2 linked regions of the Lonchura striata genome follow. The protein of the gene in region 1 purifies or fractionates together with the protein of each later gene. This does not show direct contact. Links are inferred from orthologs where the notes say so. Each region holds a gene or a part of one and is shown in the gene's direction. Other genes may lie near its edges.

Region 1 (16,204 bases):
TGTTCAGCTGTTCTGCAATCTTAAGAATTAAGTAGTAGAACATTTAGAGTATATCACACCTATTTTTGCACTTGATTTTTAGCAGGTGCAAAAATCTAACCTTGGTGACTCTCAGTGAAAATTTGACACCTTATTCCTTGAAACTCATCTTCATTCGTTTAATTCTCAAATTTATGGTACTTCTGGACCATAGCCATGTGTATCTAAACATTTATAAGGACTCAGTTTGATTCAAAATAACTATATTATGTTACATTAAAATACTCTGAGTGCAACAAGATTTCTAATGAAAACCTCAGAATCTAAAATGCCATAAGAAGGATCTTCTTGAAGCTTATTTGTTTAATCTGCAAATTGTTAATATCAATATGAAACCTGATGAAAAATCAAACTTAGAAGCACATTTTTAGAGATCCATGACATTTCCAGCATTTTTCTTTCAGGATGCTCTAGTGGACTCTAATTTAGTCACACTTCCCTCTACTGCAACTGCTGTAAAGGAGAAAGATGGAAGCATCTATTGCCAACCTGAAATACTATGTGAAGGTCAGATAGATCCTTTAAATATCTGATGCTACACCAGTTTTGTATTAGTACAGGATTCCAAGTCTGATATTACTATGGCTTGCAAATCTACTTGCTAAAAGTGTAATTTGAATTAAATAAGTCTGTTATGAGTAGTACTTCAAGTTTAGCTGCATTTTATAAAGATTGCCTTTGAAAGAGTATTTTTAACCTTTGATCAGGGCATAATAACAGGAATATGCAAATACAAAATTACCTGAGGTAAAAGTAATTTCTTAGAATAGTAGCCTCCAATTCTATCCCAGTTATTCACATCATGTATTTATAAAGAAAGAAAAAAACCCAAACCAGAAAAACCCTCATAAATTCCAGTGTAATGAATCCCTAAGAATAAAAAATTGTTGCCTTTTAAACTAACAGCCTGGCTTACTTGTGTTAGTAACCATCTTCAGATTCTTACAAATTCAGACATTCCAAGTCTATACAACACTTTTATTAAGTAATTCCAAGTTTTTTTACAGGCAAAATGTCCTGAAGATTGGTGTGTCCATATAGATGTTAATTTGGGGTTTTCTCTTGTCTTGTTCCTAAGTCTTGAATTTTATTTTACACAGGGATAGAACTGCCTCGCATCAACTATGACTACAATGGCAAAAAATACAAGTATATCTTTGCAACACAAGTCCAGTGGAGTCCAGTTCCTACAGAGGTATGCTTAACATTTATAAAGTCAGTGTTTTCCCATTGCTGGGCCATTCACATGCAAAGGAACATGAAATGCCTAATTTATCATAAGAATAAGTTCATGTTGTACCATTTTCCTCATAAAGTTTTCATAAACTCAGGCTTCTTACTCCAGCTTTATGTTCCATGAAAGTCTCTTGAATAGCTACGAAGACCCTTACTTTTCTGCTAAATTGGGCTGAACCTTCTGTGATGTGCCAGGAACTACAAAGGAGAGAGTAGGAAAAATAAGTATTATTTACATGTATATATTTAGTATTTTTTCCCTTTAGGAAGCCTAGCAGAAAAATAAGATATTGTAATACTACCTAATAAATTTTAACTATTAAAGCAATATCTATTTTGGGGAAACTTTATATTTTGTTGGCTAGTTCTCTCTTAGAGGTAGTAAATGCTTTGTTTACATGTGCATGATGCCAGAAGACAGCCTGAAATACAAACAGATTAACAGGGAAAGTATTTAATTAAGATTTAAATATTAAATAAAATTAAGGTAATTTAAAGATTTAAATGTATGAGTATTATATGAGCAAGCTCATGCTCTACAATTCTTGTTCTGTGACTACAAGGCAGCACAAATTGCAGTCACTGTTGGTTCTTGCATATAATTACCACAACTGATTACAAAATAGAGCTGGATTTCTGCATGATGCAAGAAAATTTATTGCAGCACATCTGACAAAAACAAATCTGCAAGCTCATTTGCAGTGTAGATAATCTCTGCTTGACTCAAATATAATAAAAAATAATGGTAGGAGGATCTTTTTTCACATCAGTTGCAGTTTAATGAATGCAAGCCCAACAACCTAATCCTTAGGTAAAGTCTGTCAGTGAAAGTGCTGTCATCTTGGCTAGAGGAAAGAATTCTTTCTAATTCTTCCTCCAATCATTTGAATAGTTTCACTTTTGTGTAAACGTATTTTTTGGCTAAAGATCAAAATGGAAAAGAATAGAACTGCATCTCTATGGGTAGAGAAAAGGCCTTAATGGAATTGAACTGCAAATGCCAGGCATCCCCTCTGGCCATTGGTTTGGCCACTCAGTGGGATGAAAATCCACACTCTGTTCCTTCAGTGAACACCAGTGTCTGCCTCACTGCTTTGATATTTACACCTCACTAGGAACAGCCTTTCTTCTGCCATATGTACCCTACTGCACAATAGAAGGCCTTGAGGAATATGGAAGTAGCAATAAAAAGAGAATAATTCACAGGATTAGAAAATGGCAAGTTTAAATCCTGTTTCCTGCTCTACTACATAATCTCAGTGATTTGGAACAAGTCACTTAAATACTCAGTGTCTTGGACTCTCTGCAATGAGGGCCATTACTTATAGTGAAGGGTCTTTTGTGGCCTGTTAGCATTTATGAACTATTAAACACCTGTAAATGAAAGGTGCAATTGTAATCTAATGAAATGAAATTAAAAGAACATTGTGTGATTATGCAGCCATAAAATGTGACTCCAAAATTTAACATTTTCATTGTGTTTTTTCTTGTGATGATACCTGCCTTAACTCTTAGCATTGGTCCTCCCTGTCAGCAGTCTGTTCTTGTTGTACCTTTGGGAAAAGCCACTGTCAGGGTCACTGACATTTTTTGTTTCTTGTTACAACCATGTAGATTGCAAAATTTAATACCCAGACAAAGGAAATGGTCCAGTGGAGAGAGGATGACTGCTGGCCATCCGAGCCTGTTTTTGTTCCCAACCCCGATGGAAAAGAAGAGGACGATGGTAAAATAATGACAACCAACATTCTGAAAGCTGGGGTTACATGAGTTTTGTATTAAATCTTACAAGTTTCAAGATTCTTAGTCAAGAAGATTGGGTTGATGCTTCCTCTTTGATATGAGGTTATCTTTTCTGCTTAGTGAAATTTTTCTATGTTTCTAATTATTCATTTGTATGTCACAGGTGTTGTTCTGACCTGTGTTGTGAAGTCTGATCCAAAGGATCCACCCTTCCTACTTATCTTGGATGCTAAAACTTTCTCAGAGCTGGGTCGAGCCATAGTAAATGTGGACATGCATATGGACCTGCATGGAATATTTATACCACAGCAAGACATGAAAACTGAGACTGAGTAAAATCTATTTGTTGCATTGCACTTCTGAATGTGGGATAATGTCCTTCAGGAACAGCCTTCTCTTATGATAAGAAATTACTAATTATAACCTCCTCAATATCTACATATGGTCTCTTAAAAGAGACAAAAATTACTTTATTACAAATCATTGTGTGCACAACTGGTATATCACTATTCCAAAAGAAGAATTATCAATATGAAGTGCTAATGTTGAATACAGCTTGTGGAGCAAGGGCAATAAATGTTTTATTTGAGTAGAACAAAGCTTTCTGAGCAAAAGAAGTACTGTATTCATAGGGTGACACAGGGCATGAGTTACACATGTCTGCAGGTCATGTAACTTCCATGGGCTGTTGAAAGACTGCAGCTGACAATGAAAGTTGTCTCCTGCCAGAAAACCTCATGTTAAACTGGTAAAACCTTGGTATCATGGTGACCATGATACCAATAATTCATGGCAATATATTCTCTTGGTGCTTGATTTCTTAAACTCTGCCATAACCAAAGTATTATGCTGAGGTGCTATATTTTTCTTATCCAGAACCTAACCCTTCCCCCAGCTTTTCTAATAGTTTCATGGTGTATTTTTCACTTTTACGTTGACAAAACCAAGTAACTTTATTGAAAAAGAGTACATGGTTATATGCAGCATTCAATCATACTTTAGTGACATTCAACCTTAAGCAGTTTGTATTTAAATCAGTTTTCCTTGGGCAGAATATCTGCCATTGCATTTCATGTAATTAGATTATTATACTGTGTAAAAGAGAAGAATTGTAGTATTTGCTACTGCCACTAGTCTCTGTTAATAGCAGTATGTATGTGAATGTGAGCAGTGTATTTCTAGCAGAACTCAGACACACATGCACAACAAACAGTTTAGGAAAGAGTGAAAGATCTAATTTAGGCCTCATCTGAACCCCACAGTAGCAGAAACTAGAAGCTGTTATTGCCATTACTAAGCATTTGCTTTATGTCTGCTTAGGAGTATCCATGTTCTCACATGTGTTGATTCTTGCCTGTACCAGATGCTTCCTAATAAAATTGCACAACTTTCACTTACAGCTACAATTAAAATGAACATTTCAACATAAAGTTCAAGTGCCAAGCACAGTGTGATGGGTTCTGTTACAGAAATGGCATTTTTTACCCCCTGATTATATTCCTGATACTGACTTTTCTTTAAGTGCGAGCTTTTTTTGCTTTGAATTTTGTTTTCTCATTGTAGATATCTTTGCTGTTGGAGCATCTTTACTGATGGAGAAAACCAGGTGTATATCCATCCATTTTGGGTGTCCATCTGGTCTGTCTGTATCACCACACAGCTCAGGTACCTCTTTGGCACACATATACCCTCAGTGCCTCAGCTGCTCACAGTATTTCATAGGAAGGAAACAGAATGAAATTATTTTCATTTACTACCTCCCTACCACATGAGAATCTGTGCTTGGTGACCTGTTTGGGATTACCTAAGGTGTTTGTAGCAGAGCAGGAACTGAACCAACATCATCCACAGTTCCTGACTACTCTGTAACAACCAGATCTCTGTTGCTCTGCTTAAGTCTTTGCACTTTGTTAGGATAAAGATATGCAGACTATTTTTAATGCCAAAAAAAAAATCTAACACTGTGGTCAGATCTAGTTAAAATATGCAGGTTTGAGTGTTCAAATGCTTACACATTCCTTAAAATGGAAATAAATATTTCAATAAGGTGTGTCTGCAGAAATAGTCATTTTTAGTGTTTTCAAAGGCTATTACCATTAGTATTTAATAGAAATTTATCTTCTAAAGAAGAAATTTAATTCAATTTTTGTAAATAATATGGAACAAGTACTGGAAGAGAAGATTGACTCATGATATTGGCAAAAGACATCAGCTCTGGCATTGTTTCTTTTCATATGAAAAAGTTTGGATTTAACAAAGGTCACAAATACATTTCTAGAATTACAAGGTGGCAATGCATCAAAAGTCTAACCATTGTTACAGATTTTCTTCTAAGAGTTTGTCTCTAGAATTTCTTCTGTAGTACTCACAGGGTTGTTTTGGGATAATCATAGGTTTGGATAGGAGTTAGTTCACTTATGAGGGGATAATTTTTACTGGTAGAGATGACAGGATAGGAGATATACTCATCATAAAAACAACCTGTAGTCTCAAAAAGCAAATGTGTTATTTACAATCATGTAGAAATAATGCAGAAAATAAATTATAAGAACTTATCTTGGATGTGATTTTTAAATGAGATGTACCCTATTCCCTTGGTCAGTACTTCACAAGATTTGATTAAGTTTGTAGTTAATCTGAGGAGAAAAACAGATGCAAATCTGCATTTGCTAATCCCAGTATCCTCCTGCAGCAGAGACAATAGGAATAAAACCCTACAGCTAATCACAAATTTGTTCAAGGATGTTTTTAGTGGTTGCAATACCAATCTGATGAAACATTTACCCTGAATATGGTAACACACTATCATTTCCAGGCTGACAGAAGCAAGGGGAAATGCTGATATGCTTTACCAAGTGGCTGCAAGGCTCATAGGGGTTTTTTTTGATGTGGTAGCATGGCACGTGGTAATGAGTGTCATTTGGTTTGCTTCTGACACCCTTCACTGTGAATGAATCTAAAGGGTCAGAAAGGTCTGATGCTTCTTTTGCACTAATTTAAGTCATAAATTAGCCCAACAAAATTCATAGAATTTTTATAATAATGGCATAACACAAATCTAGATGAAGTGACTGCAAATAAAAAATAATAAAGACAAGTGTCTCCATTAAAAGAAAAATACATAGTTGAGTGAGAGAATCAGACCACGGGTATGCATATATATAATTAATTACCTCAGAGATGCTACAGATGGACCTTGATAGAGTGGTTTGGTTTGTTGTTGTTTTGGTTTGGTGAGTTTTTTTTGTTGTTAATTCATTCATTAAATGGAACAAATAACAAGGTATAACAATGAATTTGTCCTCTGTAACTGTATATTATCTGTTACACCATGTCCCATTGCCCCATATGGGCAGCAGGAGGAAGCAGAAACAGTGTTTACCAGGACGCGTTAAAAACCAGAAATGCAACAATGTTTTCCTCTGTACCAATCTGTGCAGGTGGCAGGAGAACACACCGGTGTCTTTCTTTTCAAATAACCAGGCCACTCAATGACAGCTTTCGCAATAATTTAAACCACTGCTCCCTTGGGTCTGCAATTACCTGAGTATTAATGACAAGCAAAATACATCTTTCCCCTGCAGCTAAGGAGCAGTGTGCTCTCTGCCTTCATTACCCTCAAAGAGAGCTGAGAATGTGTCCTCTGGATCCTCAGCCTACACCTGACATCCTGGATAATTACACCCAAGCAACAAAAAAGTGGCCTTCTAATATTTGTGAGTATGTATGACAGCAAGTGTTGCAGAGCTGCTGGTGTTTTATGCACATTGCTGTGGGCTTAGGCTTTCTGTCCTACATCCTCTGCTCCTAAAACTCTTGTTCAGAGCTGCACAACAAAGCTGCAGCACGGTGGTCCCCCTGTGACCCCTCTCCAGTCAGGGAGCACTTCAGCAAGGGTTCAGCTCTGAAGCCTGGCTCCAACAGGGCTGAGCACACTCTTCATCAAGGCCCTGGGTGCAGGGTTTGGACTGCTGGGTGATGTGTGAGGATGTCCCGGCTGCAGTCTCCATCTGCACAACAAAGCAGCATTGTGTCCAGCTTGGAAAGAACAAGGCATTCATTTCCTATGGGGTCGTTTCCAGGTACCCAGCTTCATTTTCCGAGTGGTAAAATTTGGAGACACCATCAAACTGAATGAATGATAGAATTTTGTTACATTTCACTGAAATGCAAGTAATAAAAGTAATGTGACCCACCACAGCGTTACTAGATCAGACCCTCTGAAAGTGTTATTTTCCCAGTGAAGGAATGGGCAGCATGACATCCATCTGAATGTTCCAGAGGCTGGGAGATCCCAGTGCTGCTGTGCCTGTCAGCACAGGGAGCACAGGGAGCTGCTGTGCTGGTCCCTCCCAGCAGCACCAGCTGGATGTCTGTTTTAGAGCAGATCACAGTTTGTGAAACACTTTCACTCAGTGCAAATAGTTTCACCACTTTAATGTTGGATGTTGTTAAGAAAGCAGATGGAATCAAGTAGTCTCTTAACGTGCAATTAAGCATGATAATAAATGGCCTAAAATTTACCATGTGAACTGTCCTAAAGATCTTTTTTGCTGGAAAAGGCCACATTTCCAGTGGGAAGTTGTGGAAAGGGACACTGCCACAATGAATCTTGCTGTATTTAATTCTCATTCTCTTACTTTTCCTTGTGTCTACACCTGTAACATTCACCCCAGCTCATATAAGGAAACAAACGAATAAATAAAAGGCCAGTTTTACAGGATCAAAGAATCAATTAGACTGGAAAAGACCTCTGGGATGATCGAGTCCAACCTATGACCAAACACCACCGTGTCACCCAGACCGGGGAGTGCCACTTCCAGTATTTCCTTAGACATCTCCACGGACAGTGGTTTTATCACATCCCTGGGCAGTCCGCTCCGATGTCTGATCACCTTTTCTGGGAAGAAATTTCTCCTAATGTCCAAAATAATCCTCCCCTGGTGCAGCTTAGGGCTATTTCCTCTTGTCCTGCCGCTCGTTGCTGGACGAGAGCCTGACCCCCCCGCGGCTCCAGGATGAGAGCGAGCAGGTCCCCCGGAGCCTTCTCCAGGCTGACCCCCCGGGCTCCCTCCAGCCCCTTCCCCAGCTCCGCTCCCTCCTCCGGACCTCCTTCAGCGCCACTGCAGAGCCGTGCGGAGAGCAAGCCGAGATTTCCGGGCCGCCCCCGCGGGGCGGCGCGGGGAGATGATGCCGGGAGATGATGTCAGCGGCGGGCGGGCGCCCAGCCATGGTGTGAGGGCAGGGACTGAGCCGGCCCGGCCCGGCCCGGCTCGGCGGCGGCGGCAGCACCATGTCGGGCCCGAGCGCCGTGTCGGACCCGCAGCACCCGGCGCGGCTGCTGCGGGCGCTCAGCTCGTTCCGGGAGGAGACGCGGTTCTGCGACGCGCACCTGGTGCTGGAGGGCGAGGAGATCCCGGTGCAGAAGAACATCCTGGCGGCCGCCAGCCCCTACATCAGGTACGGCCGGGCCCGCGGGCCCCGGGCGGCCGCTCGGCGGGGCCGGGCTTATGTAAGGAGCGAGATCGCCGCGTGTGGGCACGGACGGAGCAGCCGGGGCAGGCCGGCGGGGGCCGCGGACCCCGAGCGCAGGGAGGGCGCGGAGTTCCCTCTGCGGGTGTTCAAACCCCGGACACGCGTTCCTGTCACCTGCTCCAGGTGGGAGCTCCTGCCCTGTGCCTGCCTTGGCAGAGGAGCTGCACTGGGGGATCTGAGCTCCCTTCCGACACCAGCTATCCTGCGCTTCTGTGGGAGCAGCTGCTGGGCCCCCTCCTTCCCTCCTTCCCTCCTTCCCTGCCTCCCTCCTTCCCTCCTTCCCTCCTTCCCTCCTTCCCTGCCTCCCTCCTTCCCTCCTTCCCTCCTTCCCTCCTTCCCTCCTTCCCTCCTTCCCTCCTTCTCTCCTTCCCTCCTTCTCTCCTTCCCTCCTTCCCTGCCTCCCTCCTTCCCTCCTTCTCTCCTTCCCTCCTTCCTTCCCTCCTTCCCTCCTTCCTTCCCTCCTTCCCTCCTTCCCTCCTTCCCTGCCTCCCTCCTTCCCTCCTTCCCTCCTTCCCTCCTTCCCTGCCTCCGGCCGGTGCCGCCGGGCCCCTCCGCAGGACCCGTCGTGTTCTCGGCATCACAGCGCTGCTTTTCCAGCTCTGAGAGGCTGTGTCATCCACCAGGGAAAAAAAAATCCCCCCAACAACTTCATTGCTGCCGGGAGCCCGCTGTGAACAAGTGACCCCTGCAGAGTGAACTGTGAGGATGGCGAGGGTGGTGTCCGGCCGAGGGGCAGCATCCCGGGGGCATTGTGAGGTGCTGGGCTCTGTGTGTCCCTCGGCCGCACCGAGTCAGCACTTCAGCATCATTTTTTTCCTCCTTAATGCCTTTTAGCAAGACAGGGCTCCAGGTGGTGATCATGAGGTCTGAAGTACGTTGGCTTCTAAATTGAAAAATAAAAATACAGGTTTGTCTCCCCATCGCGTGTGCCCCCGCAACATCTAAGAACATCGCTTGGAAATTGCCAGAGTGACAAAGCCTGGCCGTGCCAGGATCGCTGGCAGCTCTTGGCAGGGGTGTCACCAGCATGTGCAGTCAGAACTGTGCCACTGACAGCGAGTGCTGGGGAGGACGAGCTGCATTAGCACAGTCATGGTTTCTGAGGTGCCTGGCAAGCAGCTGTGCAGGGAAACCCAGGTCATGGAAAGTCCTGCTGACACCAGTCTGAACCCCATCACACTCAGTGCTGTCAAGTCCAGTGACAGCAGGTGAAAAGAACATACCTCCACGAGATCTCATGGTACATGTCTGCATGTCAGAGCAGGTAAACAAAACATACAAGTGCATAATTTCAAGGTGTTTTTAAGTCCACTCATTTGCAGGTAATAAGGCATTTCTTTTGTCCTCATATGTAAAGTAGAAGCAGACCTTCTGTACCATTTAAAATCGGGATTATCATCAATTGATTGCAGACTTCTTGTACTGTTTGGACACTTCTTCCAGCTGCTGCTTCCTGTGAAGTTGACATAAAGTTTGCATTTTTTTGCTAGGTGAGGATGGGAATTCTTTATGCTACAATCTGAAAAAATGCAACCTTGTGCAGTGTCATAGCGTCTGCTTTTAAACAAGACATTATTTTGGGTGACCATTGTAGTACAACTTTAACATTCTCAAGTACAAAATTAAACTAATAATAAATACAATATGAGGCTGGTGAATAACTTTTAAATAGCAATGGTCATGCACAGACTTAAGTAAACAGTTCTCTGCACCAAGCTAGCAGAACAGATATAAAATGCACATAGAAGGATCATCAAGAATTTGCAAAAAGGACATGGTGGAGCCTATGTACTACTAATAATTTTTTGTCACTGCTTGTCTTGAGAAGCAGGTTTGGAAGACTGTGGTGAAAGAAATCAAAGATGTGAAATAGAAATGAGCCATTGATTCATACTCTTCAAAATGCCTGAAAGCTTCTTAGGTCATTGGGCATCATATTTTAGATGACCATATGCCTGACATTAGGTTTCAGAAGAGTTGCTGCAGGTGGTAAGAGGTCATGTCCTTGGAAAAACTGCTGTTCTACTGCTACAGCAGGATGTGTTTACAGAAAATGTCAATTTTTTTACTGTGAAAAAAAAAATGCTTAACTAAAAGATACTGTAGATTGCCCTATGGAGCCTTTTCACAGAATTTCATCTCTAAGTTTTGCATTTTGTTAATCTTTGAAAAATGTACTGGGGAAACATGGGTTAATTGTCTGTGAGGAATAAGAGCTCCAGACACAACTACACTAGCAACAAAACCTGTAGTCATTAGAGCTGTGGTTTTTTTAAGCTCAGAATTGTTCAGGTTCAAATCTCATGAAGGAACTCATTAACTATGTGTGAAAGTAGGTTACATGCATTAATATATAAATATGATTAAATGTGAGGTTTGTTTTTTTTTTAAGCTTACTCATGTCTTCTCCTCAAGTTTTCAAGATGTAAAGAACTAAAAATACATGTACCTAGTTCTTGTATGGCACATTAGGAAACACATTTGTATTGCCTACCTTTGCAGAGCCTAATTTTTACTTGCTGCCTGTCTCTCTTCTTTTTATCACTCCAGGATCTCTCTCTTAGTCCAGCTGGTCTTCACATTGGGTAGAATTGGTCAGGTAGGTTGCCAATGTTGAAGCATTGTGTTTCCAGCCAAAGAACACAGTGGCTTTTTTTGAAGTTGAAATTAATCTCCACCTTGTACCTAGTCTGTGCAAATCAGTTGAGGCCTCTGTATAAACAGTTATTGTAGGAGACACAAGAATTTCCTGTCACTGTATTTTAAGGGTAGCTGATTCCAAAGCTCTGGTACCACAGGCTGTTACAGTCTCCAAATGCCAATTGATTCAGATTGCTCTCATTTGAAAAATTCCAATATAAAGCTCAGAAAAATCCATTAAGTAATTTCAGAAGTAAAACTTGGAATAAAAATAAGCATGTACGTGAAACTTGAAGTGAAGCAGTGGAAGTATGAGTTGATGTGGTGTTTTCAGTGTCTGGCTGTCTCATTATGTGCTGTGGCTGTGGGCAAGTTGGTGGGCGAGTTCAGAAACTGTAGGGTTTGCATGAATGCCTAGTTTAGGGTGTGAGTAGGAAAATAAGTAGGCATGGACTTTGTGAGGGGGTGGTTGGGTGTGAGCAGTCTGTGTGTGCTGAAGGATTTGTGCAGCCACAGAGAGAGGAGCGTTACCTGTTTTTTAGTTTTGCATGGGAGCTGTTTGGCTGACTGGTTATGAGTAGGACACTTGTAAATTATAGTGATGTGTTTTCCCACTAGTTATTTGGCAACTGGATTATCCATGCAGCTCAAATATAGCAGCTTCAGTGGAGAGAGAAAAAAAGGCATGAAGGGGCACAGAAACATATTGGAAGTCTTATTGGGGTCGTTGTTATATGTCCACCTGTCTGTCTGATCCATAGGGTGGCTTCTGAAAGTACAGAAAAATAAAAAAAGCCTGGTTTATTTTCAAATTTTCAGTCTGTGGGACCAGTAAGAATTTTAATTTTTGTGGTAGTTTGATTCTTGAGGTTTTGCCTCAACTGCTTAATGCCAAGTGGTCTGTAGCTCTCTCAGGCCAGTGAGGTCTGGAGTGGTTGTGTGAATTCCTACAGAATTCTTTTATATGTACAGGTTTATCTAATCCCTCTGTGTGCCCTTGGAGCAAATCCTGCCATTTACAAAGCACAGAAGTCTCCCTGCATATCTCTAACATCTTGTGGTATGTTCCTGAGCCTGAGAAAAGGAGGGCTCCTCAGGAAGAAACCACCACAGGACAAAGTGTGGTTTGGCTCGAGGTGATGCTGCTGTGCATCCCAGAGCAGTTATATTCAAGCCAGGTGAGCTCTTGATTTTCTCTTCTGTAACAAATCAGCCAGAAACCTGCCCTTTTTTTGGTAGCACTCTTTGTCCTTAGTGTAGATCCATTGCCCTGGTTTAATTTATTTAGTTTGAGAGCTTGATGTAAATTACATTGGTGTGAGAGGGCTTTTCCCTGAACAAACCATGCTTGCACTAGTAAGTTTGGCCTGAGTTGTGGCATAGATCCACCAACCTTTTATAGGATAGACTTGGTCCAAGCATTCCTGGTATCCTGAGCAGTAGCAGCAGATGTTCCCATCTGAACAGATCTGTCACTGGCTGGCATGAGTCGTTCCTGGCCAGCTGAAACTTGCACCTCTTTATATTTTGCTCATTTACTGTCTGCTTGCCTGGATCACAGGGAGCACGTGGGAACTACCTCAGCAAAGAGGCTATTTAAGCCCATATTCTTAGACAAATTTAATGTTGTTACACGCAGGGATTGTGCTGCTGCATTACAAATTGAATTAAGACATTTTTGTTATCTCAGCAAGTTTTGTCTTTGATTTTCACGCATCTGCATGAGCAGATTACAGATGGCCGTGTGTGTTCTATACTGTTCCCCAAGGCTTTTCAAACTCAGTAATGGACCAGTAATCATATTTAAATCTTTTTTCAGAGGAGCATAATATAACTAAACAAGAATGTAAATGTGAGGTTAAGTTCACATTATTTTTACGTACTTATAAATAGCTGTACTGCTTGTAAATGGGCTTTGGTCAGAAATAACTTGACAGCCTTTGCATCTTCTCACTTGTCCTGTTCAACCTTCTGACATCTCTAAAACACTGCAGACCTTGTAAGACCCTGCACAGCCACAGCCAATGCTGAAATAGATTTCCATGGAGATGTGGGGGACGTGCCCCCCATGACTGACCTCCTGCCCTTTCCTCTGTGTGCCTGCACTTGGAGCGTTTGCAGTTGTCACGAGGGGAGCCTGCTGAGACTCCATCCCTGTGTGAGCATGTCTGGGAGCATCCATGAGTGCTGGTGTGGGAGCTGGGACAGGATGTCCCCCCTGCACCCTGGAGGTGCCACTGGGTGATTCTTGTTACACCTGTTGGACAATGAATATTGTAGAACAAGGTCAAGTAGGAGCCAACACATGCCAGGAGCTTCTGCTGCTTATTTCCTGGTACCTGTTTGGTCTTCACTGACATTTATAGAGATCTTTTATAGTGTTTTAAAACTTTTCTTCAATTTGGGATAAATATTGAAGTCAGGAACACAAATGGCAGCTGGAGCTGGGAGCTGTTTGGTTGTCAGAACGCCCTGCTCCCAAGTTCTGCTTTAGCCAAATCATGCTGTAATTGTGCCAGGGCTTGTTCCCTCTTCACTGGGTGTGCAGGGCGGTGTTGTGGTAACTGCAGTGTCAAGGAGGGCTCTAAAGCCATTGTTGTCTTCAAGGTTTCTTTTGAGAAGTTTGTTTCTGGCAGTCTCCTGGGAGCTTTGGAGGCTGCCCTGGCAGTAGGAAGTCAGGAACAGATCAGGCCAGAATTTGCTTCCAGACTTTGTTTTTTAAATTTGGCATAGTTTTGTTTTGGTTTTGATTGAAAAAAAAAAATGAACTTGAAATGCTACCTATTATGTTTTAGTGGTAGCTGAGTTGTAAAGTCTCTGTAGCTTTGAGAGGCAATAAATCAAAATAGTTGCCTTGGCCAGAAACTCTGTGCCTGGCACAATTCAGAAGTGCCTACATGCATGTTATGTTTGGATAAGCAGTTGAGGGGCAACTGTGATAAAGGAATGTTAAAAGTTTATGGTTTGAAATGGGATTTAGAAGTCACTATACCAGGCTTGAATGGGGAATTGTTAATTATATTCCTGCTCCAACAAGCCCCTAGAGATCGCCTGAAGGAAAGAAGCCATAAGGCTCTTACCCAGCCCAAAATAGTAAAAAAATACATTTGTGCTGCTGCTACATGTCAGGCAGAGGGAGAACTGGGAATCAGAGCATCTTGTTTACCCAGGAGAACTAGAGATGAAATTTCTTGTCCTTTCTTTGTATCTGGAGACGCGCAGCTCATCTGCGTGCCTGACGTAAGAGGCGAGCTGGGATGGAAGGTGTGGCAGGATGGGGCTGCTTGGGATGTCTGGGTAATTTATACTCTGTAGGTTGCCTTTACACTTGCCTTAATTGCCTTGTTTGGCAAAACTTTTATGATTAAAAGAGCCTTTTTTATTTTTTTTTTTCCCCTTGATTTGTGACTGGAACAGGGCTGATGTGTCTGGAGCTGATGAGTCAGAAATGCTTCACTCGTGTTTTGGTTTTTTTGGTGATGTTCTTTTTTAATTCTTTGAACCTGTTTTGTTTCTGTTGATCTGCAGTTACTAAAGGACCTTTTTCCTGGTGTGGACTGGCAAATATGAGCAATAATTAATGGTTTGAAAAGATTTGTTTCCTCACTCTCTTCAGACTCTTATTCTGAATATTGTACAGAAATTTCTTTCTGTGCTGGTACTGAGTACCAATATAGTGCTACCCTTTGCCTCTTCATATTTCCCATGGCTTAATATGTCCAAAAAACCAAAATAAATCACTGCTTATGCACAGCTCTGAAAGTCCTTGGCCCTATCAAGGAAGTATGTCCTTAATCCCATGAGGTTGGTGGCTGGTTTATGTCTTCAGGCATGTTGGTTTACATCCCCTGGATGATGTGGGCTGCCTGCTGCAGCTCTTGTTTATGGACATGGGGAGTGCTCTGTGTTGGAGGCTTCTGTGCTGATGAAATCCATGTTCCTGCTTTCTTCTTCCTCTTGGCTGTGGCACTGCTTTCTGTGAAAATCTTGCAGATCTGTGTTTTCCAGCTCCGGGCATATCCAGAATTCTGCTGCTTATCTCAGTTGGATTCCAAACTTCTTTCAGCTGTTCCACAACACTAATCATGCACTTAAAATTTTGTCCATTTGACTTCATACTTACCATCAATTATGAAAATCTTTCTCCAGCTCTGTTGCTTATTCCTCCCACGTGCTGTAAGGATAAATGAGGTATAAAAACCTGTTTAATCCAAGTTTTCCCAGCAGATCTATTGGTGTTCGTTATATAATAATATTTACAGGAATATAATTGAATAAAATTAAATAAAATAATATAATTATAATACAGGAATATTTGGGTTATTAGACACATGCTACAGAGCATTATGTTTCTTAAATATATTTAACAGAAAATTTAGCAGCATGGGTACTGTATAACACTGTACTTGTTTCTTCTAAAAATGCATTTTTAACAAGTTTAAAAGTAGAGTTAATCTGAAAGAAGACATATTTCAAGTAAGACAGTTTTCATTTCTTGGCTTAAAACTCTCTTTCAAAAATATCTTTCCTTGGTTTTTTTTGGAACTAGGAAGTCCTGGTTCCAAACTGCTACCTAAAAAGTGTGACACTGCTGGGAATCATCAGTTCAGTGAGTGGACTCGAGTGTCAAGTGGAGCAGAAGAAAACCAAACCCAAACCACCTTTCTAAACCCAGCAGGTGTTTCTGTCACAGATGAACAGCAACTGCTGAACCAGCTGAGCCTGAGCTGTGCTTTGTGCCATGCACAGGGTGCAGAACCACAGGTGCCCAGCAGCAGACCTGCACTGCTTGTGTTTGACTTGTTTTCAAGCTCAGCTGTTGCTGTTGCCTGTTTGATTTCTGTGTTGGCTAAAGAAACCCAAAGTGAAATGAAACATCAGGTCCTTGGTGCTGCTGAGAACTGCCAGGGTCTGTCCTTGGGCACGGTTTGTTGAGTGTGTGTTCTGTCTGCTTAGGGCTAACTCACATGTTTAGGCAAGACACTCTGGTTGAGGGTAGATTTCCAATTTA
Region 2 (16,525 bases), on another chromosome or scaffold:
CTGAGCTGTTTCAAAGGGCTGATAAGATCTTAACATCTCTTCAATCATTAAGAGGTAAAACTTAAAGGAATTCAACCTCAGATATGCAGAATAAAATGCTGGAGCTTCTCTGCATAGCTAGGGTCTCAGGTGGAAGGAATGTGGTTTCCCCAGCCTCAGGAACAATTCTGTCCCTCCCAGCTGAGGAATGCCATGGCTGTGGATAACCACCTTCACCTGCAGCCTACCTCATGGAAAAGAAAAAAAGTCCTTACACCAGGATTTTGGAAAAGCCCAGCTGACAGCCCTGGTCTTATCAATTCTGAGCTACTTCATTACTGGGAAACAGGGCTGCTCCTGCTGAAGCCAGGCAAGACAAACCCCCATGTTTCAGAGGGGAGATGATGCCCCAAAACCCTCCAAGTCCACTCTGTCGAGTGGCCACAGGCCCCATTTTCCCACTACTTCAGCTCCCAAAGGGCTCCCCTGATGCCAACATATACACCCAGGATGTGCCAGGAGAAGCCCTGGTGACCATAGACCAACCAACAGGTCCATTGAGAGCAGCCACAAAGAGCCCCAAAGTACCAGAAAACAGGGCAGATAGCCTTTACCTTACAGAGGATGAACCTCTGGACGAGGAAGAACAGGACAGCAGACATGGTGCCCGAAAGAAGGGGTGAGATGAACCAGGACAACACTAGAAAGTGGGAGGCACAGTCAGCATCCTGCTGCTGGAAAAAGAAGCCCAGGGACACATGGGGTCCGTGGCTGGGGTGGTCCTGCTGGCTGGACTTACCAATCTTCAGCAACTCGGACCACTTGACACCTTCTTGCCCTTGGGCCACCAGTGAGAAGCCAATGGTCGCTCCAACGATGCAGTGGGTACCAGAAATGGGGAGCTTCAAGAATGAAGCCATCAGCTGCCACACAGCAGATCCTGCAGAAGAAGCAGCCTGCTAAGAAAGCCATCACCCTGGGACACAGTGCTCCTACACTGAGACCTCCCTGTGCCTTACCAGACATGGCGCTGATCGAACCTGCCATCAGCAGCTGCTCTGTGGAGTTGTACATCTCGACATCAATCAGACCCTTCCGGATGGTCTCGCTGACCTTGGCTCCCAGCAGGACAGAGCCCACCGTCTCAAAGATGCTGGCCAGGATGCAGGCCTGCCGCAGGGTCACCACCCCCGAGCCCACGGCCGTGCCGAAGGAGTTAGCCACGTCGTTTGCGCCAACAGAGAAGGCCAGGACGAAGGCAATGATGAAACCCAGGACCAGCATCCAGAGGAAGTCAGCCATGGGGGCGGTGAGCACCGCGGGGGTCGACTCCATGGCGGGGACGGGGCGATGGGTTAATAAATTAGGTTTCAAATTAAATAGAGGGATCGCTATAGGGCTCGGGGAGACCGCGACGTCCTACGGGCCCGTCGGTCGCAGGGGATGGGGGCCGGGTGCCGCGCCATGGTCTGCGCCGCTCGTCATCCTGCGGGAAAGGCAGAGCTGAGCACCGCAGGAGCAGGCACTCACCGGGCGAGCACCGGACGAGCAGAGCGCGCGCAGGGCGAGCACCGGCCCTTCCCGCCGCCGGTAACGGCCGCTCCCGCGCGCGCCACCGCCCCCTCCCGCCGCCATGCGTGTGTGCGCGCGCCTGCCCGTCACCTCCGCTCACCGGCTGGGCCGCGCCGGCCGCGCCAACCAGGAAGCCGCAGCTGCGGTGCCGCTCTGGCCCCGCCGCCCTCGGGGCCGCTCCCCGCCGCTGCCGGTCCCCGCCGCCGCCGGTGCCGGTCCCCGCCGCCCGGACTGCCGCGGCCGCAGCGCCCGGCGCCTTTAACACCGCCCTCCGCCCCACGTGACCGCGGCCCCCGGCCCCTCCGGCCCGGCTCCGCCCTCGCTGCCCATTGGCCCGCCCGCCGGGGCAGGGGGCGGGGCCGCGCCGCCATTGGGCAACGCCGAGCACGGAGCCGGGCCAGGCCCCGCCCCCGCGCGGGCAGCGCGCCGGAGAACCACGTGCGCGCCGGGGGAGGGACCGCACCGGGACGGCTCCGGGACGGCACCGGCACCGGCACCGCACCGGCACCGCACCGGGACGGCACCGGCACGGCTCCGGGACGGCACCGGCACCGCACCGGCACCGCACCGGGACGGCTCCGGGACGGCACCGGCACCGCACCGGGACGGCACCGGCACCGCACCGGCACCGCACCGGCACGGCTCCGGGACGGCACCGGCACCGCACCGGCACCGCACCGGGACGGCTCCGGGACGGCACCGGCACCGCACCGGGACGGCACCGCACCGGCACCGCACCGCACCGCACCGGCACGGCTCCGGCACGAGAATGGCATGGCCTGGCACCGGCACGGCATGGCCCAATGTGGGCTCTGCTCTAGTGTGGCACGGGCACAGCCCAGCACGTGTGAGGGCTCAGGCTGGGCTCCAGCACAGCCTGACACAGTTTGGCATGGATGTGGGGATCCGTGTGGGTCTGGCCCACATGTGGAACAGTTCTGCTCAGCTCCAGCATGACCAGCCTCTGCCAGGCACAGCAACAGTGCTGCACCAGCTCAGGCGGGCACTGAGCTGCTGAGCGCTGGGCTGGCACTCCAGTGTGCCTCAGTCCCATGCCAGTTTGAACTGGCAGCAGGCATGGGCCTTGTGCCTGCACTGATTGGGACCAGCACCAACCCAGGGGCTCCCACCGGCCTCAGCAACCACACGTAGGGACTGAAACCAGCAGCCACCAGCATCCAGCTGAGTGGTGGCAGGTCAGGGGATCCTGCAAGATCCCAGGAGGTTCCCGGGAGGTACTGCAGGGTCCCCCCAGCACGTCCAGCCTGGGTGACACAGGCAGGGGTGAGCCCCTCCAGTGTGCAGCCATCTGTGCACGCGTGTGCACATCACACGCGAGGGGCATGCGTGTGCCCTGAACAGGGGGAGCGCCGGTGCCCGTTCCCATCTCGGGGTGATCATTGCCCAGCAGGAACCACGGCTCAGTGGTCAGAGGCCACGGGCAGCCCCAGGGCAGGGGTTGGCCGGCACGGGAAGCTGGGGTGTCTGGCCAGGGGTTGTGCCGCCCCACGGGTCAGTGGCTGAGGGCTGGCCACGGCCGGGCCATCGCGTCACGGGGACGCTAGTGACAAGGGCTTGCAGATGGCACCGGGTACGGGGGGAAGTGGCCAGGGTGCCCCAGCCCTGCTGCATGGCTGCCCCTGCGTCACCCGGCCAGAGTCCGTCCTGTGTCCCCATGGGCCCTGTGTCCCAGGCCACGTGCAGCACTGGGTGCACAGAGCCACAGCACAGCCCGGGCTGGGCCTGGGGGCTAAGGAGGGACGTGTACCTGGAGCCTGGGGACCCCTTGCCACTCTCAGCTCGCCAAAGCATTAGCAGGGGATGACCCCATGCCTTTCCCCTGTCCCCACTCCGCATTCCTGTAACCACTGGGTGTCCCAGTCTGCCCTAGGTGTGTGAAGTGAGGAAGAAACTGGCAGGAGTCTGGATGAAGCTGCTAGGATCCATGTTCTGGGCCCCCAGATCCCATAACCCTGTATCCCAAAGCTGAGAAGGGATCCAGGTGTGTCTACACCCCTGCAGGGGTGGGGGCAGGTCTGGGGAGCAGTGCTGGGCATAGAGGGTGAAGGAACGGGTACGTGGGGTGCAGCGCTGAGTGTGTGGGATGCACCAGACATGGGGCACGGCACAAAGTGTGCAGGTGTGTGGCCAAGTGTGGAAGGGTATGGCAGTGAGCCTTGCAGAGGGTACAGAGCCTTGCACATGGGGAGCAGCATTGATCACAGAGCTGAATGGATGGGGCGCAGGGCCACGGATATCCTGGGAAGGAGCAGGCCCTTCGAGATGCCCCCAGGACACTGCAGGATCCCAGCACTGGGAGGGGATCCTTAGACCTTTGTCAGCTTCACTGCTACAGTGATCCCCACCCCTGAGCAGTGGGACTGTGACACTGGAGGCACTTAAAGCAGTGAGGCAGCATCTGGGAGCTGCTGGGAAACGCCCCGGGAAACACTCCAGCCTGTAGCCGTCTCACCTACAAACTACATCCCCCCGCCCCAGTAACACCAGTAAGTCTGTAACTCCTGCACTGGGTGCCTTTGATGGATGCTGAGTGTGTCCTGAAGTCCACCTGCTTGGCATCACCACTCCCAGTCCTGGTGCTGGCTTTGACCTGCAGGTCCCTGCACGTGCCCTGGTGTTCAGCAGCATCACTGGGCATCCCAACACTCATTGGCACACTCTGGACCTCTTAAGTGTCACCAGCACTCCGAAACCCCCAGCACCGAAGCTGTTGGTGTCTCTGCCTACCTGGGCTCCACTCCTGACTGATCCTCTTATTTCATGTTGTCCTACTCGGTTGTTAATTGGTAATAAATTAAAATTAATTTTCCTGAGTCAAGTGTTTTGCCCATGACTTAACTATTGAGTGATCTCTCTCTTCTAACCTCACCCTAAAAGTTGTTTCACTGCTCTCACCCCTGCCACACGTGCCTACATGGCCCCTCTCTGTGTCACCAACTGGGCACCGTAAGTGTGGTCATGTTCCATGAGAACTTACACGATGCAGATTCATGAATAGTTTGGTTTGTTGGAGCAACAGAAAAGCAGGTTCAGAATAAATGCACGAAGCACTGAGTGTTAATATGTCATGACAAAAGGTATAGAACAGAATAAAGCATTCCGGGGTCTGTGTGTTGCTGGAGGCTGGGAAGCACCCAGAAGCACTCTGGACAGCAGCCAGACACAAGGGTCCTGTGGCAGAGCTCCACAGGGACACCTGCACAGGCAGCCCACCTTTTCCTGGTGTTCCAGTAAGCTGGGATGGAAAAAGCCCTGTCAAGGTCAGCCCCAGCTCACTCATCCAGCTCCTTTCCTTGCCATGCATTTCCCCAGGAGATCCTGCCCAAGCATATGAAACAATCTCACCTGCATGGGAGACCTCTTCCACTCACTGTGTGCTGGTGGATCACTGGCAAAGGTATTAGTGAAAACAAACCTGAATCACATTGTGGGTAAGGTTGAAAGCGACAACAGTGGGATCATCTGGTCCCACCTCCCTCCTCAAGCAAGGTCATCTGCAGCACATTGCACAGAATTGTGTCCAGACAGTCCTGGAATATCACAAGTGGGTGAGATCCACAACCTGGGCAACCTGTTCCAGTGCGTGGTCACCTGCATAGAGAGGTTCTTTCTCATGTTCAGGTGGAATTAATGTGAATTTGCAAAAACACAACAAAAGGTCATGTCCAGGGTCACTGTATTGCTTACAGCATGGATAATACATGTAGTGAAAATCAAATTAGAATCAATTTGAATCAGTAGCATCATGGGGCTCCCCGCACCCCCCTCAGTACCCAGGGGACCCCTAGGCCCTGCAGTGGGCACCCATGTGAGTTTGCTTCCAGTACAACACAATTGATTTTGCTGCTGGTCTTTATTTAAAAATACAAATATTCTCCAAATATTCTGCTGGGTTCTGGCTGGCTGGCTCAGGCACCTGCGAGGTGCCTGTGGACAGAGGAAGCTGCTAAAGTGTGGCAGGCTGGGTGTGAGGGTGTGGAGCAGTGCTGGGCACCCCGTGGGCCGTGGGCACCACTGGGGAGCTCTGGGCAGAGCACCGAGTGCCAGCTGACAGCACCACAGTGACTTACTGGGCACCCAGAGCTCCAAACACCTCATGCCACCCAATACTGCTTCGGCAGCTCCCCTCCGCCCCGCCAACTCACTTTCTCCTCTTCCTCCACACATGGAACACACAACACAGCACCATTCCCAGCAGCATTGAGCCAAGGACCGCCACGATGCCTTCAATGCAGAACTTCTGGAAAGAATTAGCATCCACAGCGTCTGTGTTTGCCCTGCCCAGCACCGTGTTTGGGTCTGCCCTGCTATCCGCAGCGGTCGGCTCTGCCCCGGTGCTCCCAGCACTGGCAGATCTCCTGCTGACAGCGCTGTTGAGGTTCAGGCTGTTCACACCTGGAGGACCAATTGTGCACGTTAGCATGTCCTGCACACATCTGGCAATCTCGCTGGAGGGCTGGCATTGCCAAGAAATGTTCTTTCTCACTTCACTAGCAGCTCTGAACAAGGGAATATCCTGTGGTAACATTTCCACGGCTTCAGTAGAAACCAAGGGAACTCCCAAAGGCCTTGCAAGTCCCCACTCTCTGGACCCTCTCTCTCCTCTCAGATTTGCTTACACTTTGGAGTAGCCTTAATCCAGTTCTTCCAGTGTCTGCCTTTGCTCCCTGCTCCTGGGGATTCTTCCCATGCGCCCACAATTTCTGTTGTGCTCTGGCCAGGGATGATCTGACTGGGCAAACACAGTCCCCCAGGACTCAGCTGGAGACACAACTGGCAGTACGGACTCTGGACCACCCTTGCAGCTCAGCATGACAGGGAGAGTCCCTCAGTGAGGGTCTGGTGTGTGTGGGGGGGGTGCTATGGTGTGCCCCTACATGCACCTGAAACCTCAGCTGCCCGATTGTGTTGGGCAGGGGTGACCTGTACCCACCTCCTAGTATCATCCTCAGCTTCCTCAGGATTTCATGTAGCAGTTTGGATGTCTCCACAGAAGATTGTCCCCTTTCATCTTGATACTCTGGACCTTGATGCAAAGAATAAAGTTGCATTTTGCCCCCAGCAAACCCTGGAAGCAGCCCTCAGGCCATGCAGTCGGTCAGGACTGACGAATGACTCCTAAAGTGCCAGGGGAGTTCCAGTGCAGAGTCCAGCCCAGAAGTTGGGAAAGCCCTGCCTGTGCCCACAGCTGCAACCAGACCACACAAGGAGCTCCTCTCATACCCTGGAGCACCATCGGTCCTGACAGAACAACAGAACAGGGAAGAGGCTCACGGAAGAACACAGCACACCCAGGCTTTGCTCCCTGTCCCTAGGGATCCTTCACATTTGTCCACAACTCCTCTTGCACTTGCCCATCTTTCCCTTTCAGGGCTCAGCAGGTGCTGCCCTGGATGGAGACTGATGCTGAAGGATACAGCTGTCCCCACGGACAGGACCCCGGGGGCTGGACAGAGAGCTTGGAGGGAGCACAACTGTCTGACCAGCCAGCCCTTGGAGTCAGGTGGACAAAACCCATTCCTGTGTCAAGGTGAGCCACCTGCAGCTCTCCCTCCCCAGCCCATCACCCACACCCCCAAGGGGATACAGTCAGGCCCTCTGGGGAGATACCTGAACTTCCCTCTCCCTTGCTGCCTTTTCTGCAGTACGGACAGCATTTGCCTGCCCCCAGTTTTCAGGACTTGTCTCCCACTTACAACCCGTGGCAGGACTGCTCCGTGCCTGGATAATTTTGAAAGCATTCCTATATCCTGGACGAGGGCCTTCCCCAGGGTTGGCCAGCACTGACAGGGATCAGGGAAAAGTAAACGCTCAGCATGGCTCAGGCACAGAGTTTGCAGGAGGATGATGTAGGGTGCCCCTCAGCCATGCCGATCTGAGAGTGCACCCCTCTGGAGCCTGGTTCTGAGGAGGGATCGCCCCTTGTTGTGTCAGGGCCTCCAGGGTCTCACAGCAAGGCCTGGCATGCAGGTGCTGGGGCAGGGACATTAAATCCAGAGTCACATTTCCCATAATTTGCTGAGGGCTGCCCAGGTGGCCTCATTTCCAAAAGAACTAAGTTCTGAAATCCCTGAGAAGGGAGTGTGAGAGCTGGTGAGCATCCTGTTGCATCCACAGAGTGTCTGAGCGTGTGTGCCTGGGACAGGAACAGCAAGAGCCTGCAGCCCAGAGGTGACAGTCACCGCAGAGCTGCTGCTGGCACTGGCAGCTTGGCACGGGGCAGAGCCTGCAGCCAGCCGGGGCTGAGCGGCCAAAGGACAGCGACGACCCACACACCTGAGTGAAAGGCCCCGGTGCTTTGCCCAGGGCCTGGCACCGCCTGACCGCCTTCCTGAAGCGCCTCCTCCTGCGCCGCCATACGCTCCAGAGCTTGGGAGAGAAAGAGTGCCAGGTGAATTGCCAGTCACAAAGAGTGCCAGGTGAATTGCCAGTCACAAAAAGTGCCAGGTGAATTGCAACTCAGAAAGAGTGCCAGGTGAATTGCCAGTCACAAAAAGTGCCAGGTGAATTGCCAGTCACAAAGAGTGCCAGGTGAATTCCGAGTCACAAACAGTGTCTGGTGAATTCCGAGTCACTGCTGCTCCTCAGATCTGTCAGAGCTGCGTGCTGGCCCTGGCCTGCCCACCTACCCATGGCCTGTGCTTGCCACGGAGCAGCCCCAGCGTGTCGGGCTGGCAGGGCCACCAGGAGCAGGGTGAGAGTCAGGGCCCAGCGTGCCTGCACCATGATGCAGCTGCTGCTGCTGCAGCCCGCAACGCCCGACCTGCACTGCGCATCTGCAGGGCTGGGCTCTGCAGCTCCACAGGCACTTTGTGACCTCATGGGGCCTTCTACCAGCAACGTTCTGCCATCTCCAGGGTGGGCACAAGTGTTCCCCAGCTGCTGGTGACCGGTCAAGCAGAGCTACCAGATTCAGCCCTTCCCCAGTGTGGAAACCCAGGGCACCGGGACGATTCCACCAGGAATGTTTCTCTGGCTGCTCTGGGGTGTCCTGACCCCCAGGGCAGCACTGACTTTGACCCTCACTCATGGAGAAAACTTCCAAAGCCTCAAGGTTAACCAGAAACCACAAAAGTGTGAAATAGATTGTAGAGAGTAGTGGAGTATGTCACACGGGTGAGAATCTTAGCTTTTAGGACTTTTAATATGTTATAGATGGGTTCAAGATGGAGGATATAGGGTGTTGTCTCGAGTTCATTTTACTTCCTTCCTCTTCCTTCATCTTCTTGGGTTTAGGTGGTATCTTGTAATTGGGTAGAAAAATCCACATTTTGAATTGGAAAATGTGGATCTTTAGGGCTCAGTTATTGGGTTGGAAAGGAAAATCATTTATGTGTCACTTCTTAATTGGGTAGCTTAGTTTTTGATTAGACTTAAAAGGCCTTGTAACAAGAGATCGTTGGCCATTTTTGTGCTGTTTTTTGTGCATGCAGAGTGTGGTGCAGACAGCGTGCTGAAGTTTTGATAAGATAACAGTAAACAGAAGCTGAAGAACCAAAAAAGTCCAATGCATCCCTCCTGACACAGAACTGCTCCAGGTGGGTCTCCCCTGCCAGGGGAGCCCAGGGAGTTGCCCAAGTTGGGGCTCACAAACTCACAGCCCAGCACACACAGGGTTCTCTGGAGAGCTGCTCTAGTAAACTCTGCAGAGACCACCTGGGACTTTACAGAGCAAATCCCAGTGCTCCTGGAAGTGCATGATGGCATCAGGCAGCTGCTGGTGTGGACCTGCCCTGAACTTGGACCAAACACTTCCTGGAGTTCCCCTGGAGGAGTCAAGTCAGGAGCTGGGGATTATCTCAAAGCCTTTGTGCCCCACATCATCCTCAACAAGGACTGTCAGCTGGCACATGGAGCTGTTCGCTTACTTTGCCCCTCATGGAGTAAGGAGCATCCTCAGGAAAGCAAATAGAACTTGTGGGCTGAGATAAAAAACATTTAATAATTGAAATACAGTAAAATAATAATAACAAATTTTAAAAAAGGAGGGAGAGAACACCCAAGAAAACAAGTGATGCACATTACAACTGCTCCCCAATGCCACAGCAGCCCCCAAACCCCTGTGAGCCCTTTGTTCCGGGTACTCCCTCACACTGGGCACAGGGCACGCCTTGGCCAGTTCAGCTGTGCCAGCCGTTCTTTAGGGCACCTCCTCCCTGGCACAGCACCGAGACACAGAAAATTCCTTGGCTCAGGGCAAGCAGCGCCGTGGGGCCACCTCTCCTGTCTCCTGCGGGATTTGCTGCCCATCCCACAGGCCCAGAGCACCACTGCAGGGCTGCCCTGGCCACCAGCACCCCCCGTGCCTGGCACAGGGCCGGGGGACATGGGCAGCGCCCGGCACGGCCCCGGGAGCGGCCCCGGGAGCGGCCCCGGGAGCGGCCCCGGGAGCGGCCCCGGCACGGCCCCGGGAGCGGCCCCGGGAGCGGCAGCGGCGGCGGGGCTCGGGCGCCTCCTGCAGGCCCCGAGCGGCACCTGCAGCCGCGCCCCCCGCGCGGGCAGAGCCGGGAACGGCGAGGGGAGGGGGAGCCGGAGGCACGGGGGACACGGAGAGCGCGGGCAGCGGGGCACCGGGGACATGGCGCCGCGGGGTTCGGGCGTCCGCTGCTGCTCGGGGCGGCGGGAGGTCCCAGCGGTGCCACCGGGGGACCGGGAGCGCCTCGGAACCCGCAGCGGGCGGGAGGGGCCTGCCGGGCGGGCGGAACAGAAGCGCGCCGGGCGGGTTCCGGGCGGACCGGAAGCGCGGCCGATCCCGTTGCCGTGACAGCGGGCCCGGGCCGCCATGGAGGCCGCGCTCACTGACATGTACGACCAGGCGCTGCTGGGCATCCTGCAGCACGTCGGCAACGTCGAGGAGTTCCTGCGCATCCTCTTCGGCTTCCTCTACCGCAAGACCGACTTCTACCGGCTGCTCCTGCGGCCCGGGGACCGCCTGGGCTTCCCGCCCGGCGCGGCGCAGGCCATGGCCCTGCAGGTACCAGCGGGGCGCGACGCGGCCGGGCCTTGCTGCCGCGGGCCGAGCGAACGGGCCGTGTCTTCCCGGCTGCGCGGTGCTCGTGTCGGGCCGGCGGCGGGGTTCGTGCGGGCAGGGCGGGGGTCGGCGTTGCCCGGAGGAGCGCAGAGCAAGGCAGGAGAGGTGCCTTGAAGCGGGGGAAAGCGTCGCCCTCGTAAGAAGACGGGAAGCCCCCGAGGCAGGCGAGGACTGCGAGACCCCGGTGGGAAGAGCCGGGTTCGACATCAGCTCGGACGTTGGCCCGAGCTTGGGTTCGTGTCTGGTGTACCCTGAAGAGTTTTTGGTATGGGCAGAGTGAAGGAGATGCAGCGTTCCTGCCGTGGGAAGGGGTTAGTGTGGCCTCCTGGCTGCAACCAGAGGTTCCCCGAGTGTGGGGACGGTGTGCAAGGGGCTCATTCCTCCTCATCCTTGCCCAGCTGCAGTCCGGGGGATGCACTTCTGAGCTACTGCTTTGCATGATCCACGCAGGGCTGGTGCTCACCTCTCCCACACCCTCCCCTCTGCTCAGTGCGTGGGGAGGAGAGCTGGAGTGAGTGGCACGAGTGTGTGTCCTGTTGTGATGGTGCTGGCAGGGCCATGTCCTTTGTCCTGCACCTCCTGGACCCAGAGGAAGACTCAAATCGAGCAGGTGTGCCAGTCCGCTGCTGGAAGTACTAAATCTGCCTCCAGAATGTTCCTGGGAAACGAAGGAGGGCATTTTAGAAGGTGTTTACAGTGCCAAAGGCTAGCACTGGGGTGGGAGACCTTGCAGGCCGTTCAGGAGGCAGCTGCAGGGTCTCAGTGGCCATCACCCCTTGCTGCAAGGGCCTCACGTCTGACCTCCAGCCTGCACTGGACAGGCATGGCTGGGAGCCAGGTGAGGGGTAGGGTTACATCTCCTGGATCACATCTGCTCCTGCACCTGTCTGCCTGGACACAGCCAGTGCCAGGTCAGCTGTCCTGCAGCTTCTCTTGGGGCAGCTCATCCTGCTTGCCTCTTGGAGACACTGTCTGAGACCAGGCATGCGAGTGGTCCCTGTGTGAGCCCTGGAATGTGGGGAAAGGGAGGCTTCATTGGAGCTCCCTCCCAGCCGAGGGCTGAATCTCACCACTCTGCTTCTCCCTGGAGTAACCAGCCCTCTTGCCAGGCTAGGGTGAGGTTGGCTCTGAGAATACAATCCTAGAAACAATTCCAAAATGCTGCCAGGAGTTTCTGAGGTGTGCTTGATGTAGCCATTGGAGTTTTCAAAGAGTCATCAGCTGTTTGTTTTGGTGACTGAAGCAGCTCGGGGTAGGTATGTGGTGCAGAGAGGAAAGAGCAGGTGCCCCAGGCGTGTGGTGCTGCTCATTCCCTTCTCTGGGCAGAGCTGGAGCGCTGCTCACTGGGTTTGCTCTTTCTCTCCCAGGCATTCCGAGTGTTTGAACGGATGGCCAGGCAGGATGATGAGAAGAGGCGCCGGGAGCTGGAGGCGAAGCTGAGGAAGAAGGAGGAGGAGGAGGAGGCAGCTGCAGCCGCTGAGAGGGTGAAGCTGTGTCCTGCAGCTCAGGAGATCGAGGTGGAGACAACGGAGCACATCCCAGCTCCAGAAGCTGGGGAAGCTGAAGGCACCCAGGAAGCAGCTGCAGCCCAGGGTGCTGCAGCCCCCAGCCCAGGGTCAGTGGAGCCTCCAGGGGCTGCTGCCCCAGCAGAGCTGCCCACGTAAGAGTCTCTTACTTTCTTCACACTCCTGGTGGGGGGAGGCAAAACTGTGGACAGGGCATCCTCTGTTCTCTGCACAGCTCTTTTTGGGTTTTGACCTTCCTCTGCAGGCACTCAGCCTTTCGGGAGGCTGTGAGGATTACCCTTGCAGGCTTCCAAGGCCAGAAGCACTGTGTAACTCCCCACAGGAGGGCAGTAGTTGTTGTCCTGTGGGTGGATCAGCGTTTCCCACTCTGGTCTGAGCAGAGGAGGTGGCATATCCTGTACATGGCCCTACAAAGCTGGGCTGGGCCATGCAGCTCATCCACAAACTGGTTATGGTGTGCATTTTTCCTTTTCTGGCACTTCTAAGGCTCACAAGGAAGTGCTGGCACCAGCCTGCAACCTTTTTGTGAGTGCTGGACTCCCTGGCGTGCTGGGAGACATCCCAGAAGCTGTATGGGAGTGTGCATGGATACCTGCAGTACCTGCAAGTTGGTGCTGGGAGTGTGCACAGATACCTGCGAGTTGGTCTGTGAGTATGCATGAATACCTGCGAGTTGGTCTGTGAGTGTGCATGAATACCTGCAGTACCTGCCAGCTGGTGCTGGCAGGCCTGGCCTGTGACAGGGGTTTGGAGCCCTCTCGAGGTCTCTGACCCAGCCCTTGGCTCAGAGCAGGGCCAGCTTTGAAGATGAAGCTGATTTTTCTCTTTAGCTAGGCGTGGTGGCTTTCCAGCAGTGCCAAGCAGGCTGCATTTGTGCAGAAATGTCATTGAGTCAAAGTCCTTCCACAGCTTCTGGGACACTTCTAGCCTGACTCTGCTGAGCAGCAAGATGCGAGCTGCGGAGGGTCAGCGTGGCCTCTCTGAGCCATGTACTTGAATGCAGGTCCTGTACAGGCTTCACTCGTCCTTCCCTGGCATCACCTTGACCCTGAGCCAAGTCAGAGCTGCCCAGCCCTTACTCAGGGCCCTCATGCCTCACTGAGGTTCAGACTCCCGTGTTTCTTTGCTGACCAAGCTGGGGGAGTGGTGCTGTGAGCTGGCTGTGCAGGCTCCATCTCCTCCCGTGCCCGGTGTGTTCTGTGCTCAGGCCCCGTGTGACGGCTGTGCCGACCCTCTCCGATCACCACAATGGTCCTGACCAGATGTGGGGCTTTGCTGCGCCTCATCCCTGCTGTCCCACTGGTGCTTGGTGAGGAGGGAAGCTGGAGCTGGTGATCCCTGTCCTCCCAGCCAGTTTTGGAGGTGTCATTGGGAAGAGCAAGCTGCCAGAAAGAAGTGGACCACTGAAAGAACCCCAAATCCTGTAAGGACTGGGATGGCTGATGCCCCTGAGGGGCAGAGAGAATTCAGAGCTCAGATTTTGGGGCATATTCTGTATGCCTCAGCATATGGGAGGTACAGTCTGAGAACCAAAATCTTGGGAGGAGCAAAATGATAAATGGCAGGAGCAGAGAGGTTTGGTTCTTTCCTCAGGAGATGGCTGGGCACTCAAACAGGCTCTGTGGTCGTGGCTTCAAGGCTGCCAGAGGTCAAGGAGCATTTGGACAATGCTCTCGAGCAAATGGTGGGATTGTTGAGGTTGCCCTGTGCAAGGCCAGGAGTTGGACTTGATGATGCTCGTGAGTGCCTTCCAGCTCAGAATATTCCGTGATTCCATTATTCTAGGACAACGGTGGAGTCAGGTTCTTGGCTGGAGGCCGTGTTGGAGAAGAGCCTGAGCTCTGGCTGTGCTGGGGAAGAGCCTTAGATTGGCCACCACTGGGGAGGGGGAAGGGGGACCGGCAAGGACTTACGTGTAACTGGTGTGCATCCCACGCGGTAAAGATAAGCCAGGAGCCAAAAATGAAATCATCTGCAATGCCTGTCTTGGAGCTCTCTTGGTAAAGGTGGGGCTGCCAGTCTGACCCCGATCCCTGGGCAAAATTAGCAAGTCAAAGAAAACCCCTGCTAGAGTGCACAGCAGGGGCCTGGGTCTGTCCAGCCCAGCTGTCTCCCAGTGGAGAAGAGAGGGAGAGATTGGAGGCCCATGAAGCCGTGAGCAGAGGGATCTGGGCTCGGCTGAGTGCCAGTTGCTCATATCCCCATGGAGGCCACGTTTGCTGTGGTTTGCCCCATGAAGTTTCACCTCAGGACTTTGGTTATGGGGCAGCAGCTGGTGTGAGGAGAGTTCAGCTGCCTGAAACAAATGTCAGCGCTGCGGGAAGGAAACTGGAGGGATCAGGAAGGAAGGTGGGGGGCTCGTGTGGGAGCAGGATCAGTCTGACAGCGAGTGTGGTGGAGCTGAGAGGAATGGTTTCCACTGTGTGTGGTGAGAACCTGATTAGAACTCAACCCTTGCATGTGCCACCCTCTGTGTCCTGGCACTGCTGGAGCTTGGCCCCTGTCAAACCTCAGACACTCAGATGCTGTTTTGCAGCCTGCAGCTGTGGCACTGAGCACCAAGCACTGCATGGCAGCTGTCCTCTGGGTGTTGCCGTGAATAGAAGGTGCCTTCTGCTGCATATAGCTGCCACTGCAACTTCTGCCCTCCCCAGTGGGCTCTTCTGCCTCTTCTCTTGCTGCTCCCACCGCCCCAAACTCACTGGTGGGGTGGAACAGCTGCAGCCGCCTTGGTGCCTGCCCAGTTTAAACACGTGGTGGGTGAGACCGGGTGCAGGAGGCTCCGTCCCAGCCGCATGAGTCTCGTGGTTTCCAGCCAGGGGAATGGGGTGGCTGCGGGCTGGAAGTGGGGCAGGTTTGGCCCGGGTTCGTCAAGGCGCTGCAGTTGGTTTCCGAGCCTGTGGGGGGCACTGGAGCCCCCAGGAAGGCAGCGGGGGCCGGGCGGGCACCCCCCGACAGACTATTAATAATTTAACCAACTGCTTAATTCTCCACAGCCCCTTCCTTCTGAGTAAAACCCGGAGCTACCAGCCTGAGTACGAGGGGCGCATGAGTAATGCACAACTCTGGCAGCAGGAATGCAGAAAAGAGCTTAAACAAAAATATTTTCCATCTCCCCTTCCTTCTCCCCGCCCCTCCAGCCGCTGGTGAAGAAAACCGCTGCCACTAAAATCTATATAAAAACTTGCTCATTCTGTCAACCTGACGGCTCTGGAAATGTAGGGCAGGTACCATCCCAGATCTGCCAGCTCCCATCAGAGCCTCGCGCTGCACCCGGATGCTGGGGTATTGGTTGGGAACATCTTACAAAGCACAGTGAGATGGTAGCAGCTTTTCGAGGGTTGATCCAGATGAATCAAGCCAGTTTTGCAGATGTGGAGGTTTTCAGGGCTCAATTTGGGGCTTGGCCAGGTCTCTCCAACTCCCTCACCTTCCCCACTTGTGAAAGGCAGGTGAATCAATTCCTCTTTGCTGCCCTGCATCTTGCTGTGCCAGATCTCCCAGCAGCAGCTGGTCTAAACACACCGAGGACGGAGGTGGCTTTGGAGTGACACTCATGCCAGGAGCTGTGCCAAGGGGGACAGAGGTCTCTGTGCCACAGAAGAAGCCAGGCTCCTCTTGCAGCTGCCCCAGTTGTTCCAGCTGTCCCTCCCCAGTGGTTGCAGCTATCTTGCTGTCCCTGCCTTGCCAGGAGGGTAGCAGGCCACAGCCCTCCTCACACTTCACCACGGGGCTGTTCTTCCTCGCGGTGCAGCTGCACAGTCCCAGCTCTGGCTCTTCCCCCATCTGCTCCCAGAAGCCATCCTTGCCTGAGCTCAGCTCCTAATTTTGAACACCTCTGCTGCCCAGCACCCTCCCCTTCCCCCAGCTTGGATTCCATCCTGCATATATTTGCCACACAGCATTTAAAATAGAGCCTGGCAGCCCACGTGTGGCACTGCGCAGCCCGGCCTGTGCTTGTGCTTTATGACTTTGGTTCCTGGCTTCCCTCTGCTCCTTGCTTTCTCCCAGTGTGAACTGGGGGGGAAGCTCTCATCCCCCTGTCCTGTGAGTCCCGTCTCTTACTCCATGCATGGGCAAGAGATAGTGCAGGAGGCTGGGAAAGGCAGTCCTGAAGCCTGTGCATGATGGTGAATGTCTCACCTTCATGTGTTTCTCCATCCAGCTCTTGTGTCTCTCCCAGGTGCTCCAGCCATGTGTGCTCAGCTCTGGTCTGTACCTTAGAGATCATCTAGGCAGGTGAGGTCTCTGAGAGGAGGATCTTTGGGTGTGGACGGCACAGCCAGGGCTGGAAGCAGGGCCACTGGGGCATGGAACAGCGTGCCAGGTGGACCCAGGAGGATGGGCAAGTGCCTCATGCCTGAGGAAGCCTTTGGCTGCTGCTGGGCAACATGCA

Evidence for each region.
Region 2: the proteins of GAN (region 1) and NUDCD3 purify together in Homo sapiens (co-immunoprecipitation; 3 studies listed by BioGRID and IntAct, counting the BioPlex papers as one, with this or other methods). This does not show direct contact. The link is inferred for Lonchura striata from reciprocal best matches to the Homo sapiens genes GAN and NUDCD3.

What each region holds. Positions count from the first base shown.
Region 1 is NC_134615.1:19,106,566-19,122,769, forward strand, and holds the start of GAN (gigaxonin), read left to right. Parts: upstream 1-8,219; 5' UTR 8,220-8,311; coding exon 8,312-8,478; intron 8,479-11,142; exon of another isoform or gene 11,143-11,152; intron 11,153-16,204. Other genes in the region: BCO1 (beta,beta-carotene 15,15'-dioxygenase), read left to right, coding at 444-546, 1,140-1,234, 2,890-3,001, 3,182-3,354. UniProt on the Homo sapiens protein: Probable cytoskeletal component that directly or indirectly plays an important role in neurofilament architecture.
Region 2 is NC_134634.1:5,381,591-5,398,115, reverse strand, and holds the start of NUDCD3 (nudC domain-containing protein 3), read left to right. Parts: upstream 1-10,278; 5' UTR 10,279-10,354; coding exon 10,355-10,546; intron 10,547-11,970; coding exon 11,971-12,263; intron 12,264-16,525. Other genes in the region: SLC20A1 (sodium-dependent phosphate transporter 1), read right to left, coding at 594-679, 779-919, 999-1,314.